Lepisosteus oculatus: one gene and its partner. The protein of the gene in region 1 interacts with the protein of each later gene in a pairwise test. Links are inferred from orthologs where the notes say so. Each region holds a gene or a part of one and is shown on either strand. Other genes may lie near its edges.

Region 1 (7,979 bases):
CAACTCATTTCTGCTTCCCAAAGAGTTAAGCCTATTACATTTTCTTCATAACAGCCACATTCACCAGCCTGCATCTGGAATTGCGAACCGACTTTAAAAAGCCGAAAAAGACTTTGGATAATCAGACTGTGGTGGAAAGAGGTTTTCAGGCCATAATTTTCCTGTAAAACACTCATTTGTGTTGTCTTGGTTACCCGTTGAGACAGGCCAAACAACAGCTTGCTCTCCCTAAGTGTTGTGGGAGAGCCAGAGGAATGCATGGGAAATGAATCACTGTACAGGCAGCCTCACGGCCCCTTTCAGTCACAGACCGGCTGCCCAGCGAGAGGTGGAAACGCTGAAGTCACTGCCTGCAGCTCAGTGCTGGTTCCTCACCAGACCATCCCTCAAACTGTGCACCTAGGGGCTTTCTGCTGTCTGCACAAAGAGAGCTCCATTCTCCCCTGCATCGGAGAAGAGTGCATACACCCCAACTGTACTGCTGGAATACACTGAGAAACAATGAAAGGGCTTTGTGGTTCCTGTTCCGAGTTCCTACAATTTGTTTGAACAAAGAAAAAAAGAGACAAGACTACTCAAATACGCACACCCGCGGAGAAATAAACAAGACCCAACACTGAGATGCAGTGTCTTCTGTGTTTGCTTGGCAATTACAGAAAATGGTTTTTCCCCACATTTATTGAATCCTCGAATTATTGTAAAAAAACGATAACAGTTCCTTCACTTTCTAAATATCATACACTAATAATTTTTTGTTTAAAAAAAAACTAAAAAAAGCTGAGCACTACAACACAGAGCTAATAACAATATCTAAAAAAAACCTTAGATAAATTGACATATACTGGGTATCATTGCAGATATTGGGTATGGATTATGTACTGAATATATACATATTCATCATGGTTATAGTTTCCCACTAAATGCAGATCTCCACATGTATAAATACTCCTAATGTAGTTTTTGTCTTGAAAGTATAATATTTATACTGAAAAATAACAGTAAAACAAAATGCCCTACCAAAGTAAAATACTCTGCTATTTCTTGCCCTATAAATCTTTTGTTCTTGAGGCACTCTAGCACTATAGAGGCGTTCTGTTTCTCACACTGCAGTGAAAACCACCAACGAGCTCCATATTTGACCACTTTCTTTTGCAGAATGGCATCCTCAGACGAATCTTAAACATTTGTCTGAACCTGCTAATCTTACAGTATATAATCGACATCACCAGTTTACCGCCTGTTGAGGCTGCAGACACTCATTCTGGCGCGAAAATAACTTGATCCTTCAGGGTTCCCCCTCCACCAGGGAACCCACCAGCATTCCTCACATTCCACCACGGTCAAAACTTGTCCGTCCATTCCTCGACGCACTTTAAACTCACTGGTCGACTGGTCTCAGGCTGGCTTAACCTACTAACAATAAGGCTCTTCAGTTTGTGCAGCGCCCAATCTCAAGATAAACACCCTATATACATTTTAATGTAACTAGCAGGTACATTAAAATTAAAAAGGGCAACTTCAATAGCTTTCACTTACTATATATTAGTCTATATTCATATATGACATTCTAGAGGAGGCATTTAGGTTATATATATACATGTGTGTGTAAAATCAAAACATGAAAATCTACCAGATTTAATAGCTGACTAAAATGCGAGGTTATCTCAACGTTATCCAAGCCAAATTCGTCTTCCCTTCCATAATCAGCCGGCCGCCCTGTAGAGGGCGATAGATCTAATCGAGGGGAAACAAAAACTGCAATAAAGGTTCAAAAACGGAACAAAAATCACAACGGGGCCGGTTGAACCCGTTTAAAAACCTAACAAAAAATCTAAATGAACGAATCCCGACTTCTGTTTCTTCGTTCAAACGTTTCTGAAGAGCTGTAGTTGTAAAGATACCATTCAAACGAGAACGCGAACTCCTCTTGCAAATGGATACGCCTAGTTTTTCGTTGAAAGTTTATGCTACAAAATGCTTCTGCATCTCTTTTGACGTTATAAAGGAAACTTAAACTGCCAAACTGAATTCGGACACCCTATATATAGTTGCATATAAAAGACAACATAACCCCGGAGGTGGGGTGGAGACTGAATGCGACAAACTGAATCTGGTGATCGTCAAGTGCCACACCAGCAGCGCCGATATCTAGGGCTACAGCGTTGGAGATGCCAACGTTTTTAACCCTGAAAAGACGATCTTGTTTTAACGGAAACGGGGACAGCTGAGGACATAATCCCTCTCCCGACGGATGCAGTGCGTATCCTTCCCAAGAAAACGTTTTAAAAAAAAAACCCAACAACCCCCTGTCTTAACCGATATTCCTTTTGACAGCTGAAGACCAAGCTGAATCAGCGACTTGCCGAGAAATGTTTCACCGCCTGCGCAACAACGTTGCGGGCAAACATTTCTGTTTGTTTCTTTTTTTTTTTATTACAATGTATCCCGTACCTCTTTGAGCTGGTCGAGCTCCTGTCGGACGGTCTCGTACTCGGCTTCCAGGTCGTCATACTGCTGCTTCAGCTGCTGCTTCTCCTCCAGCACCGCCAGCCCGTACTCGGCAGCCTGGATCTTCTCCCGGGTCGTCTCGCTCAGCTCCCGGGACAGCCGCTCCACCTCCGCCCGGAGCCACTGCGGTCCGGCGTCCGGCACCACCACCGACCCGGGATACTCGTCCACGGACATCTTGATCTCGGCTGGCCGGCGGCACACGCAAGCGGGGTGGGGATCTAAAAGCAGTGAGCAGAGAAGCTTGAACCGGATCCCTCGCCTCTGGAAGGACCGCAAACGCCCCTTCTGATTTTAAAAAAAGGGGGTTTTAAAGTCTTCTGCGTTTGAACTGCATGTTTGCTCTCCTTCCCTAGCAGTTGCTGTATTTCAGCCCTTCCGCTTTTTTTGTTTCATACGCGAAAACCAGCCCTTTTTTTTCTTCTTCCCCCCAGACCGTTATACTGGTCTCTTTTAAATCTAGTTCATGGTTGCGGCTTCTGGTGCCCTGAGCTTCTCCTCCTGCTCAGTTAATACTGATGGGAGGGGGGGCTGCGGACTGTCGTGAAGTCATCCCCTGGGATGCGCTCCAAGGGAGCGTTGGCGCATACCGGGAGATGCAGTGCTCTTGTCGGCTGTAACTACAGCGCGACGGGTCAAAAGAACTCCAACTCCCATGATCCACTGCTAGTTTGTACATGTGGACAGCTCACTCGCTGCCAGAAGCTGTAACGCTCGCTTTGACTACTATATGGAATATGTGGAGGGCGGCAGAAGCCCGAAGAGTGAGCGGTAGCGCCACCTTCAGGTTAAAAAAAAAAACGGATATTTTATACCGCTGTCTGCATTTACAGGCAGGCCCGGTCAGAGATGAGCTACGGTGCGTGGAAAACTGCATTTGGGAATTGGTATTTAGAGTCCTTCGGTAGTATTAAGTCGTTAAACCTGATTGCATTCGAGCGTGTGTTCAATGACAAGGAAACGATTTTATTATCGGTTACAGTTTTGTAAATGAACATAACGAATACCGATTTGTCTTATTGAGCTCTTCATTATAAATATATCAAATGTATTGTATTTAACCTATACCTTGCATATTACGAAAGCAGACCAAAAGTAGATTATGTCAACGAGGGTAAATCAGTACTTCGTAATGTATCTGACGAAGGTTTGCGTTCGAGATCTTGTACACGTTTGACTTCGAAACCACAGAGTTTAAAGAATTATCTTTCACGTTTCCACTACTACAAGGATTTAAATTATGCACTGCCAGTAGAACGTCATTAACTGTGATGTGGTGTAGTATCATAATAATTAATTGCATTGTATGTCGTGTTTTCATCCCAAAGGATCCCAAAGCACTTTACACATAAGAGGGGACTCACTTTGGCACCTGGATGCCATTATCTGCCACTATACCGCAGGTCAGTTGAAGAAGTGAGAAGTTACTTGTAAAATCCCTGAGCGCGATTTAATTTGAATCCCAGGGTGAACAACACCCGTACTCTTACAAACAGCGCCCAGTGATCCTTAATGACCACGTATCTAAGACTACCGTCTTACATCTCAGCAGCAGGATGACACTTGTTACTGCAGTTCTGACACGTGGGAATTGATGGTACAATCCCTTAGAGATGGGGAGCGCACCACTGTTTCTTGCCTTAATCGTGAGTCTTGAGGCGGGGGCTGGGGGCGACATGTCTTTGGGGTTTCAGTGGGCACCTTCCATCATCAGTGCATTGTCTATGAGCCCACAACATCTCCAGAAGTCTCCACAGTGGTTCTGGCGTCCCAGACCCACCCCCAACCCCCTCTCTATGCCTGCCCAGCCTTTTTTTTTACTGTTTACTTGGGGGGCCTGCAGGGGTCACTGGTCTTCAGGCAGAGACAAGTTCCTGGTCACCATACTGTGGGCTCTCATTTGGAAATTCTGGTCTAGAGAGGAAAGAGCACCACCTAGTGGTCCACCAACATTTTATTCTGCTAGATTCCCATTCTTGCAACTCCAGGATGTTGTACAATGTCATTTGGCTGAACAACTTACATAGTGCCTCTAAGCAAGTTACCTCTCTCAGTTTGCTCCATTAAATAACCTCAGAGGAAAATTGGTACATTCCAATTTGAGTCCCATCATTGTAAATTATTTGGTTAAATAAATTGGGATCTGACCTTGCTCGTCACTAGCAGGATAAGAAACTACAAATTTGGATACCGCTCTTCAGAAAATATAGCATCAGGCCGAGTGAAAGCGAAAAAGGAGAATATTCTTTTTCTTTTGTAATTTGGTGAGAACACAAACCTTAGACTGATACAGTACATCGACTTTGAAAACTGAAGGTCTTTTGTTATGTTTAAAAAGCAAAAGGAAATATTCTGCCAGTGCTGGGTAAAAGTCTGATTCAAACAAGTCGATGATTACATTTCCTTAACCAAAATTAAATAGATCCACCCACTGTAGAAGAAGCAAGAATACTCTGATTAAATCTAAACACTCCACTGCAAGACACTGCTTTCCTATAACATAAACATGTTTTCTGAACTCTCATCATTCTGATATAACTACTGTTATGGCTATGAAACTATGAGATATAGCAGCCTTATATTGTACATTCATATACATGGCATATATCATGAGATATCCTGTACAGTTATTGTTTCCCTTTTCCCACAGTAGTCACAGATGTATTTGCTTTTTGTAAGTTGATGTCTGTGTTTGCTGAAGATTGCCATTCTTGTATTTCTGACAGCTGCGTTTTCTGAGTCTCCCTTTGCAGTCTGTCAGCTTTGCTTCATTATTCGGGTTCTTCCCAGTCAGATGTCATGACATGCCAAAATTTGCTACTACAGAAATATCCAAGACATGCAGCTGTGGTTCTCCAGAAGTCTGTATTCTGAGCAGCAGCTGCAGTCCTTTCTTTGCCAAAATACCTAGCTGTTCATCAGATATTTCAACCAGAGCCACCCCCACACATCGCCACCCTCATATTGTGACGATATTGTGAAAACCATTTAGAAACACATATATTATGAAGTAAATATTTAGAATCATACACATACCGTATTAGTAAAATGAGAAAGACACACGTAAATGTTTTCAACGATCGAATGGGTAAGACTATGGGGGATATTTGCAACGCAATCAATGAAAAAACTGCTGAAAAGTGTAGGTCTGATAATTAGCATAAATCAAGAATATGCAAATCATAAATCAAGGACAAACTGCGCTGTAGCTGTATTGTAATTATGCATTCTTTTAACCCTCCCTGCTTCCCAATTAAGTTCATAAACCCCAGCTTGAGGGCTCACAGCAATTTACATTTTAAGATTTATCTAAACAAACATCATGAATGTATAACAGACTAAACATATCCAAGCAGGGCTGATATGGAGTGGTACATAGCGTGTGATCTGGAAGGCATTGTGTGGGACCAAGAGAAAAGATGTACATGGATGGGTAAAATTGATAATGCAGAGTGGAAAATTGTAACATACTCTGCATAAGATTCTACAGATGGTGCCCAGAGCTCTTTGCCTCAGTGAGTTCATCCAATTCACGTTTTAATTATTTTTCTCCCATTTTAATTATTTTCTCCCATGTGTGGGTGTTGGCAGACAGCAGTTTTCTGAATGGCTGCTCAATATTTAAAGCATAGATTTTGGAAGTGCTCATCAGTTGTTTCAGGTGGATATAATACATATAAATTGTAAATAAGTAGATATGGTATTGTGAAACGCCGAGAGCAGTATATGCTGACAGAAAATCAAGTCTGCTGCCGTCTGCCAGAGGAAAAATGTCCTGACAGAGGACGTGCAGTACACTGGGCAGCATATGGCATGCAAACAGTCACAACCACACCTCAGTGTGAGTGAAGCTTCTATAGATCAGTGCCTTTACCTGCTTAAGTGGCAGGTAAGAAAAGCATTTTAATGACTGCTGTACTTGCATTTTTACATTTTTTCCTCAACTAAATGCCGCACTTAGTAAGCAGTGTTTGTAGTTCTATATGTGTTTGCAAGACGTGCATCCCATACAGTAAACATAACATAAATAAAATGTAAAGTAAGGGAACGGTTTACATGGGTGTAATGTAAGTGTAATTGTATTCCTCAAACATATAATATACTTTTACAATTCATCAAAGTTAACTGTCCGATGTCCGATGGGTTGTGGCAGGTTTCATGGAGCTGTAGGTAACTTGAAAACAGGTAAGGGACTGCTGAAAAACTAAAGCAATTTGTTTCTTTGAAACAGGAAACATGCACACACCCATCATCACTTGAGGAAAGCAGCAGTGTGGAGTACTGGTTGGTGCTCCAGACCAGAGGACTGTGGGTTCAGTTGCTGCTTTCAAGGCCCTGCTGTATATACAGGTCTCCAGGTCGTCACTGAAAATGAGTGTTTGTTCTCAACTAACTTAGTTCTAGGTTTAAAAAAAATTAGATAGATTTAAAAAAAGAAAATAATTTTAAACCTTTCTTTATGTAATAAAATACATGAAACACTTAATAACTCATAGATTCTGTCACAAAGCATGAGTTGGTATAGTATGTCCTGCCTTTCACCTAGAGGCTGTGTGATAATGGATTCTCTGGACCTGTTTTCTGTTCCTGGTTACACGTCATGTATTTTGCTGTGAATTAAACATCATGACCATTTAAAACCTCGTTTATCACTGTATGCACCAATTACTACACTACATAGCGTATGAGTTATGAACAACAAAGTATATGTATTATTGCTTGTTTGATGTGGGGGTTCCAACCACATTAAAATAAAACACAAACCACAGTTTAGCCCAAGCCTTCATGATGTTTGGTGTCCAAAATGTCCCAGTTGTTCATTTGGGTAAATGTCAAAGAAAGATATTGTTCTTATTTAATTAACGATGCACTAAATCCTTAATACGTTGTCAAGTCAAGTCAATAGCTTTAGCAGTTTGACCCTTTCCCTTACAAAAAAATAAAGACTGGGACTATGTAGGGAAAAGCAAACTCATCCATCAGTGAAAGACATCTACTGATGAAGATCTCTTCTATGCACTGTAGTTCTTCCTGGCATACTGCATGTAATGCCAGAGAATCTGAAATAAATGAAGAAAATGTGAAAGGCCTTCAGAATGTGGTGTGAAAACTGTTTTATGTACCTAGGTGTTGGGTATTTGAGATTTTAACTTTCCTTCTTTTAGCAACAGCTTAAGTAATTTATCTCAGTTATTAATAAAGTCCGGCTTGAAAACGAATTACAACCATTTGAATTCAGATCGTGCACATTTTTAAGCTCTCATGTCTGCAAACCAGGCTCTTCTGAACGAAACAGGAAGACAGCGGCTGTGAGGCTGACAGCACTGGGCTTATGAGTCCTCAGTGGGATTTGCTCACATCCCTTGATATGGCTGGAGTATACAGTGTGGACCATGAAGAAGCTGTTACATCCAGGGACAGCATTCTGTGCTCCAACACGCTTCTCCATCATTTGGTCTAACCTTGGGGTA
Region 2 (6,865 bases), on another chromosome or scaffold:
AGGATATGAAATCTGAAATTTCAAATCGGTTCTCTACAAAAATTCTATCCTAAATAAAAGTTATCTTTGAATTTTATCAACAAAATGTCATTAAAATGAACAAAATGCATATCACACAGTAAGAGCTCTTGTGAAATCTTACTTACCTCTGACTTGGCAGCGCTGTATTCCTCGGTCCCATATTCAAATCTTCGGAGAGATGTGAAGTAGTCGTAACTGATAACTGCGGTCTACAATGGAAAGGTACAGGGATATTAACCTAACAGTGCTTCTGTAGATATTGGATAAACACTTTCTACAATGAACAGTAGGTTAAAGAGGCAGCACATGCGGAATTAATGTCAAGTCATCCTTTTGGTTATCTTTATGTAAAAAAAAAACAATAACCAAATTCTTAGTAGGAAATAGCTTCAGACTATACTACACTCCTAACGCACTGTATAGTAAATCCCACATTACTGTCTCTTCTTAGCATACCAGCCTCCATGACGACTGTCCTTACAAGAAAAAGCAGATTGGAAACTGTCCTACGACAGTTCCACATGAAAATGTAGAAGCTAGAAAGGTTGAACCTAACTAGAGCCTGCGTTTCTCTCTGAGTAACTCTGAATGTGTTTGGTGTGCGAAGTGTGCTGTTCATGCCAGTGTCATTTCTCCCAACATGGACAAACAAGAACTGGCTCCTCTCCTGCCTTTGCTAGGCACCAGTCAGCCCCATCAGCAGTCTGGAGAATGGCAGGCATTGTGGCTCACTCTTACTGACCCGGGATCCACATGTCTCGTTTCACTTGCAGTTTGTCTGATAACAGCGCCTCCAACAGCCACCACTGCCATATTCTATGCATTTCTGGTGGCTCTGTCACAGACTGAAGGCTTTATAACAGCTGTGCAGTGGACTCCAGTATCTGTGATCATGTTTTCTGCTACTCAGAGGTGTCCAATCTTGACCCTGTACTTCCAAGTCCACTGCCAGAGTGTCTGGTGATGACGAGTTGTTGGGTGGGAGTGTCAGGATGGGCTGTACGTCCTTTGACAACCTGAGCCCAGCTGCCCTCTATCGGCTGCTCTGTGCTGACTGTGGGTGGTCTGCCTTTTCCTCCATCTCCTGCCCTCCGAGTCCCAGACGCTCTCTTTCTTCAAGGAGGAACAGAACAGTGGGAACTCTCTGGGACTGTCCACAAGCCACTTAAGTAATCACAGGCTTATTGGCCATTTTCAATGTACATATCCACTCCTGGACAACTGGCAAATGTCTGAGCTGTGTTATTTCTAAACAAGCCACCTGTCTTCAATCTAGAAACCCTCTCATGGCACAGCTACTACTATCAATTGTATTTAATCCAGCACACATGAGCTAAATTAAATCATAACAGCTCCCACAGGCTGGGTGTCCTCCTCTACAAAGGTTAGCATTCAGCACTACCCTACCAACAGTTTCCCAAAGAGTTTTGGTGATAAAAAAAACAGTGGAGTTGCTTTGCCAAATGTTTCTCATAAAGTAGCAAAGGGCAGCTCATCTGTTAACTCGCAGCTGGGTGTTATTTGGTCCAGACTTGCAAGGTACGGCACTTATGCTGGGAATGACAGATCCCGCGTGAATAAACACACACCATCTTCATTACTGAAGTTCAGATGGGCCAATAGCATAGATGCTGGGCCATAGATGGGCCATAGTAATTTAGCCTCCTCTTCTTCATATTTGTTTCTTATGTATCAAGGACGCACCACAGGTTACAAACACGAGGAAGAAGAAGCCGCCTGGCCCACCTTGCTATTTTTGGTGCAATAGATGAAAGTCGACAGGAACCTACCGTGACCGCAGCTCTTCCGAACCGGATGAAGCTGATGTCATTGAGATCCACAGGCCTGTGATACCAGCAGAACCCCGAAGAGGCCAACAGGGCCGTGGCCAGCGAGGAGACCTTCAGCAGCCGTCCAGCCATGAGGGCACTGCAATGTGGAGAGGAGGAAGCACACGCTCTGTTCTCCCACAGCACTGCCCACGCCAGCTGCGAAGCTCCAGTACAAACGGGGCTGCGATGATGAACATACACATTTCTGACACAATCAGCTGCTTCATTTACCGGCAGTTACTTCACCCTGAACAATCTTACTCCCAGAAGCTGCTTCTGTCAAGACCCATTGTATATTAAAAAGTAGTATTACTCCACGGGTTAAAACACATTTAAGCATGATGATGCATGGATGAGGGTGTTGCAATGAGTAAGGCAACAGGACAGGTGGGAGTGTGTCGGTACTGAGGGCTGTGACACCTTGGTCTGCTTTGTCATGAGCCTGCAGGGCCATTCCTCACAAGCCACTAAAGATGAGTGGCCTTTACATCTGAAAAAAGCGCTCTGCAGCCCTGGCTCATTCTTCATTTATCATACTGTACTGAAACAGGCTTGGCTGCATCCAGTTCAGGCCTGCAATCAGCCCGGATTACCTCGTGCAATATTTCAGTGATATACCACTCCCCGTCTCTGCAGACAGCCTCTGACACGCAGCTGCAAGGACTGTGTGCTGCTCTACGTACTTCATTTTCTCTTTTTTTGCTATGATCTTCCACTCTTTATCAGCATATTCAGTAATATTAAGATAAAATAAAAAAAATATAATCAGTCAAAGAAATTCGACCATAGCTTTTGTGGTGTTTTTTCATCTTATGCATGTTTCTTATTTGTTAGTTCACGTCCTATCAAAGGTGCACTGAGTCTTTTACCTGCCTGCAGAGCATACTTCCCGTGTAGGATGATGAAGGAAGGAAGTAGAGGGTCCCTGAGCACTGCTTTCACATGCTTGAGCAGTTGGAGGGAGAATTAGCAAAGATTGTGTCTCTGCATCAGGGTGTTGTATTGTTGTATGGGAACAGCACCCGTCTCTGCCCATGCATGAGCAAGCAGTAACATTTATGGCATTATAACACAAATTCTGAACACTAACATTGGAAATACTCTTACTGACCAACATAATACACAACAGAAAAAGGTTACAATACATGTAGAGTTTCAGAGAAAGGGACCTTGCCTTGAGTTTAACGTTACGAATCAGAAAGGCATTTCAGAGAACCTCCTGCAAGTAGTACTATTCAGCAGTGAGCGCAGCACTTTACTAAGTCGCTAAACAAATAATACTGACCATCATCATATTTAATTATGGTAATTGGTCTTCGTATATCACGAATCGTTTTCCCATTGTTGTCATTTGTGTGTTGCTTTCAGTACTGATGGCTACAGTCACACTGTGTGGATGGCAGTTCATGTCGCCAGTGGTGAAGACACACGACATCATACATGAACTAAACGTTCAGAAACAACCTGTAACATTACAGCAGCAACAAGGCTTTTCATTAAGGATGTTTAAGAAAGGTATCGGAGTTGTACTGCATTTCATGAGCAGTGCAGTGCAGTGCCATGCCATTGACATTATGTAAGTTGAAGGTTTTGTAACACTAACGATATGTACAAATACAAAAGACGCTACAAAATAAATGCACCAAAAAGCAAATCATTTTGTCTTGTTATGAAATACGCACAAAGTGCACACATACAACACTTGCTTACGTTTATTATGCACATTTGTGCAAGTAAATTCCCATTCACTTACCGGTCCAGACGACCTCTCAACTCCCGACCTCAATTATTCTCGACCTGCTCTGCGCAAGGCACCCTGGACAATGTAGTTGATGATCGGGGCAGTCTCGTTTTATTTTTTTATTCAAAAGATTACTCTGAATCGATATTCACCAACGGGACTGATTTATTTTTAGTAATGTTAAATATGACAGGCATTCTACGCGTATTTGCAAGCGCGTCTTGTCCGCTACTGAATCACAAGGTTGTGTAATTAGTGGAAACTGTACAACTGCCGGAGGTTAAGCCTGCGACGTGACGCAAGGAAGCGCGTGGTGACGTCAAACGCCACATTCCGGGGAAACAAGATGTCGCTGGCGAGGTGAGCTGTGTACGACAGAGCTTGTTTTGGGACTAAACGGCGATTATTGTGTGTACGACAGTATCTCGCGATCAAGAATACTAACACGTTTGTTTGCAATTCCTTTCTGGTAATATGCGAAAGCAATAAAGTGATTTATGCCTCCGTTCCCGCTCGGGTCGCTCTGCGCAGTTCCGGGCCCGTCCTGCGGGCCTTATTTATCTCCTGGCCTCCGGGAGAGAGAGGTTTATTCAGTACCTTTTCGAATGTTATTCTCAACGTATGTGATTATATGTAGGAATCCCTATCATTGGCTGACTCCACGGTGTTTAGCTGTTTGAACTGCCGGCTCTCGCTGTCTGGCTGCGCCTCGGTTTCTTGAGCCGGATCGGTTTACAGCTGTATGGTGTGAGTTTGAAGTGAGGGGTCAGCAGTGTTCCGTGCTGAGGAGAGATGAGATCACTTTATTGGCCAAATACAGTTTCTTGCATTAGGTATTTGTCTTTTCGCACACCCCAGCTTGCTCTCCATGAGACACACAGACAGGGAGAGAAGCTGGGGGTCAGAGCGCAGGGTCAGACCCTGGAGCAGTTGGGGTTAAGGGCCTTAATCAGGGGCCCAGCGGAGTAGGATTCCTCTGCCGGCCGCAGGATTTGAACCAGCAACCTTCCAGCCACAGGCGCTGATCCCGAGCCACAGAATCATTGCTCCGCCCACTTGTTGTGAAGTGGTCGTCTGTAATAAAAAGTCTCACAATGGGACGCTTTATCCTTTGTCCTTTAGTGTGTAACCGCAGTTTGTGGAGATTACAGTTACTCTCAGTTCATCTTTAAAACACCTCAAGCCCCTGTTTGTTTTTTTGCTTGGTGCACTGGTTGTTAGTGGGAGCGCTGATCGGGGAATGTGTTTTGGGTTGCAGCTTTTTACCGGCCCCGACACAGCTGACCCAGGACCAGCTGGAGGCGGAGGATGGGCACCGCTCTCAGAGGCCCCCGTCCACCGCGCTGGTGTCCTCCCGCAGAGAGCCGCCGCCGTACGGCTACCGGAAAGGCTGGATTCCCAGGACGCTGGAGGTAATTCTGCTGCAGCTACTCGGGCTGCCTGCCTTGCTAAATGTCTGCATCTGCTTAACCTGTGTGATTCATGAGCTTGCCGTTCAGCCGGTCCAGTAGGTATGTGCTAGTTGGTCCGTACCTAGCATCTCCCTGCCAGGGTATGGATATCAACATATAGCGAGTGGCTTGTTTCACACTCCCACCACTCATTGAGTAAAGACATGCTTCTCCTTCTCAGTTTTAAATGCACTCCCCTGCCGTTTCTGCTTGTGTCTCGTGGTTAACGTTTCATTGTGGCTTCCGAAGAAATCCACAGAGCTTGTCTCACAATTTTGAGTACTAGTGTTGAGCGTGCTTGCTATTTTCTTTTTTTAAGACTAAAAGTACAATACTGAAACCGGGCATTGAATACAATTATAACTCGCATTTGTTTCCAAACTATTTCTTTTGTGTTTTTTTCCTCTGAATTGACGGAAAACCCTTTAAGCATGATATGATGTTAAAAGTCCCATGCTGCCCTGGGTATTGAGACTTTCCCTACAATACTGTACATTATTCCTTATACTTATCTATTGCTTTCCGCCCCATTGCACAGCACATCAGCAAGTGGCGTGCTGAGAGATGGCTTATCTGAGACACAGTGTTAACACCACTTTTTAATAACCAAATTGTCAGACTTAGATTTAATATCTTATCCACTGTGTGGATCAGCAGGTGAGTATTGATTTCCAAACTTTCCAAGGTGACCTCATCAGTAGCTTCAGGGGACTAACACAGACCCACTAATACACATACTGTTTTTGAACTCATTCCCAGGATTTTGGAGATGGCGGTGCTTTCCCTGAGATCCATGTGGCCCAGTACCCACTGGAAATGGGCAGGAAGAAGAAGACCTCGAATGCTCTGGCGCTGCAGGTGGATGCGGAGGGAAAGGTCAAATATGATGCCATTGCAAGGCAAGGGCAGGGCAAGGATAAGGTATGGTACCGTGTTTTCAAATGTCGCAGCATCACAAACATCCTGGCTGCACAGGGAGATAAACCCGCCGGTTTTGGTTAACTTCTGTTTTTAAAGTCCTAAAGGAACTGTTAAGCAAGAAAAACGATTGCAAATTCAGTCGTTATACCCTAAATGTATTCTTTATAACGTAGAGTGATGCAACTACTCATCTGCTTGCCAGAGATGCCTTGTTTACATTGGTAGATTAGCGCAAATGATGTTTTAAGCATGTTCTTCTTAAATGTGCAGCACTGGCAACCAGAATGTTCTTGTTTTTAATTGCTTTTAGGTGATATACAGCAAGTTCACGGATTTGCTTCCTAAGGAAGTTATGAATGAAGATGACCCAGACCTGCAGAGGCCTGATGAAGAAGCGGTTAGAGAGGTGCGTATTTTGTCCAGATTAAACTGCACTGGGAAGAAGAAGCACTTTGATTGCTGACTCCTAATTCTTCCCGCTTGCTTTTGTTTCATGGTCAGTGATAAATTAACATGTTCTCAATAAAGACAGCTTTTATTCCCTGGACCTGAGGCTTTGGACTTTGATATGAATATTACCACTTATCAGTCCATCCACATTTTACCTTGGAGCCCATTTTGAAATAGTGTCTTCAAACTGAAGGGAAAACAATTGTTTTGATGCAGCTGACAGAGAAGACCAGGTCTGCCTTGGACAAGCAGGTATCGCAGAAGATCGCGGCAGCCATGCCTGTGCGGGCAGCCGATAAGCAAGCCCCTGCACAGTACATCAGGTGAGAGGAGTCACTGGTACTTCCTGGTCTCTGTTACAGAATTGATCCCTTAATTGACCTAATATCAATTTGAAATCAAACTCAGCTCAGCTGGAACAAAACCAGCGTGTTTATGGCTTTCTGGGA

Evidence for each region. The genes of interacting proteins can lie anywhere in the genome.
Region 2: the proteins of protein bicaudal D homolog 2 (region 1) and snw1 interact in binary tests that used the Homo sapiens proteins (3 or more experiments, as listed by UniProt). The link is inferred for Lepisosteus oculatus from reciprocal best matches to the Homo sapiens genes BICD2 and SNW1.

Annotation. Positions count from the first base shown.
Region 1 is NC_090699.1:63,445,072-63,453,050, forward strand, and holds the start of protein bicaudal D homolog 2, read right to left. Parts: upstream 3,002-7,979; 5' UTR 2,686-3,001; coding exon 2,452-2,685; intron 1-2,451. UniProt on the Homo sapiens protein: Acts as an adapter protein linking the dynein motor complex to various cargos and converts dynein from a non-processive to a highly processive motor in the presence of dynactin.
Region 2 is NC_090703.1:2,093,357-2,100,221, reverse strand, and holds the start of snw1 (SNW domain-containing protein 1), read left to right. Parts: upstream 1-3,865; 5' UTR 3,866-3,940; coding exon 3,941-3,954; intron 3,955-4,852; coding exon 4,853-5,006; intron 5,007-5,804; coding exon 5,805-5,966; intron 5,967-6,276; coding exon 6,277-6,372; intron 6,373-6,632; coding exon 6,633-6,739; intron 6,740-6,865. Other genes in the region: adck1 (aarF domain-containing protein kinase 1), read right to left, coding at 147-230, 1,812-1,943. UniProt on the Homo sapiens protein: Involved in pre-mRNA splicing as component of the spliceosome. As a component of the minor spliceosome, involved in the splicing of U12-type introns in pre-mRNAs.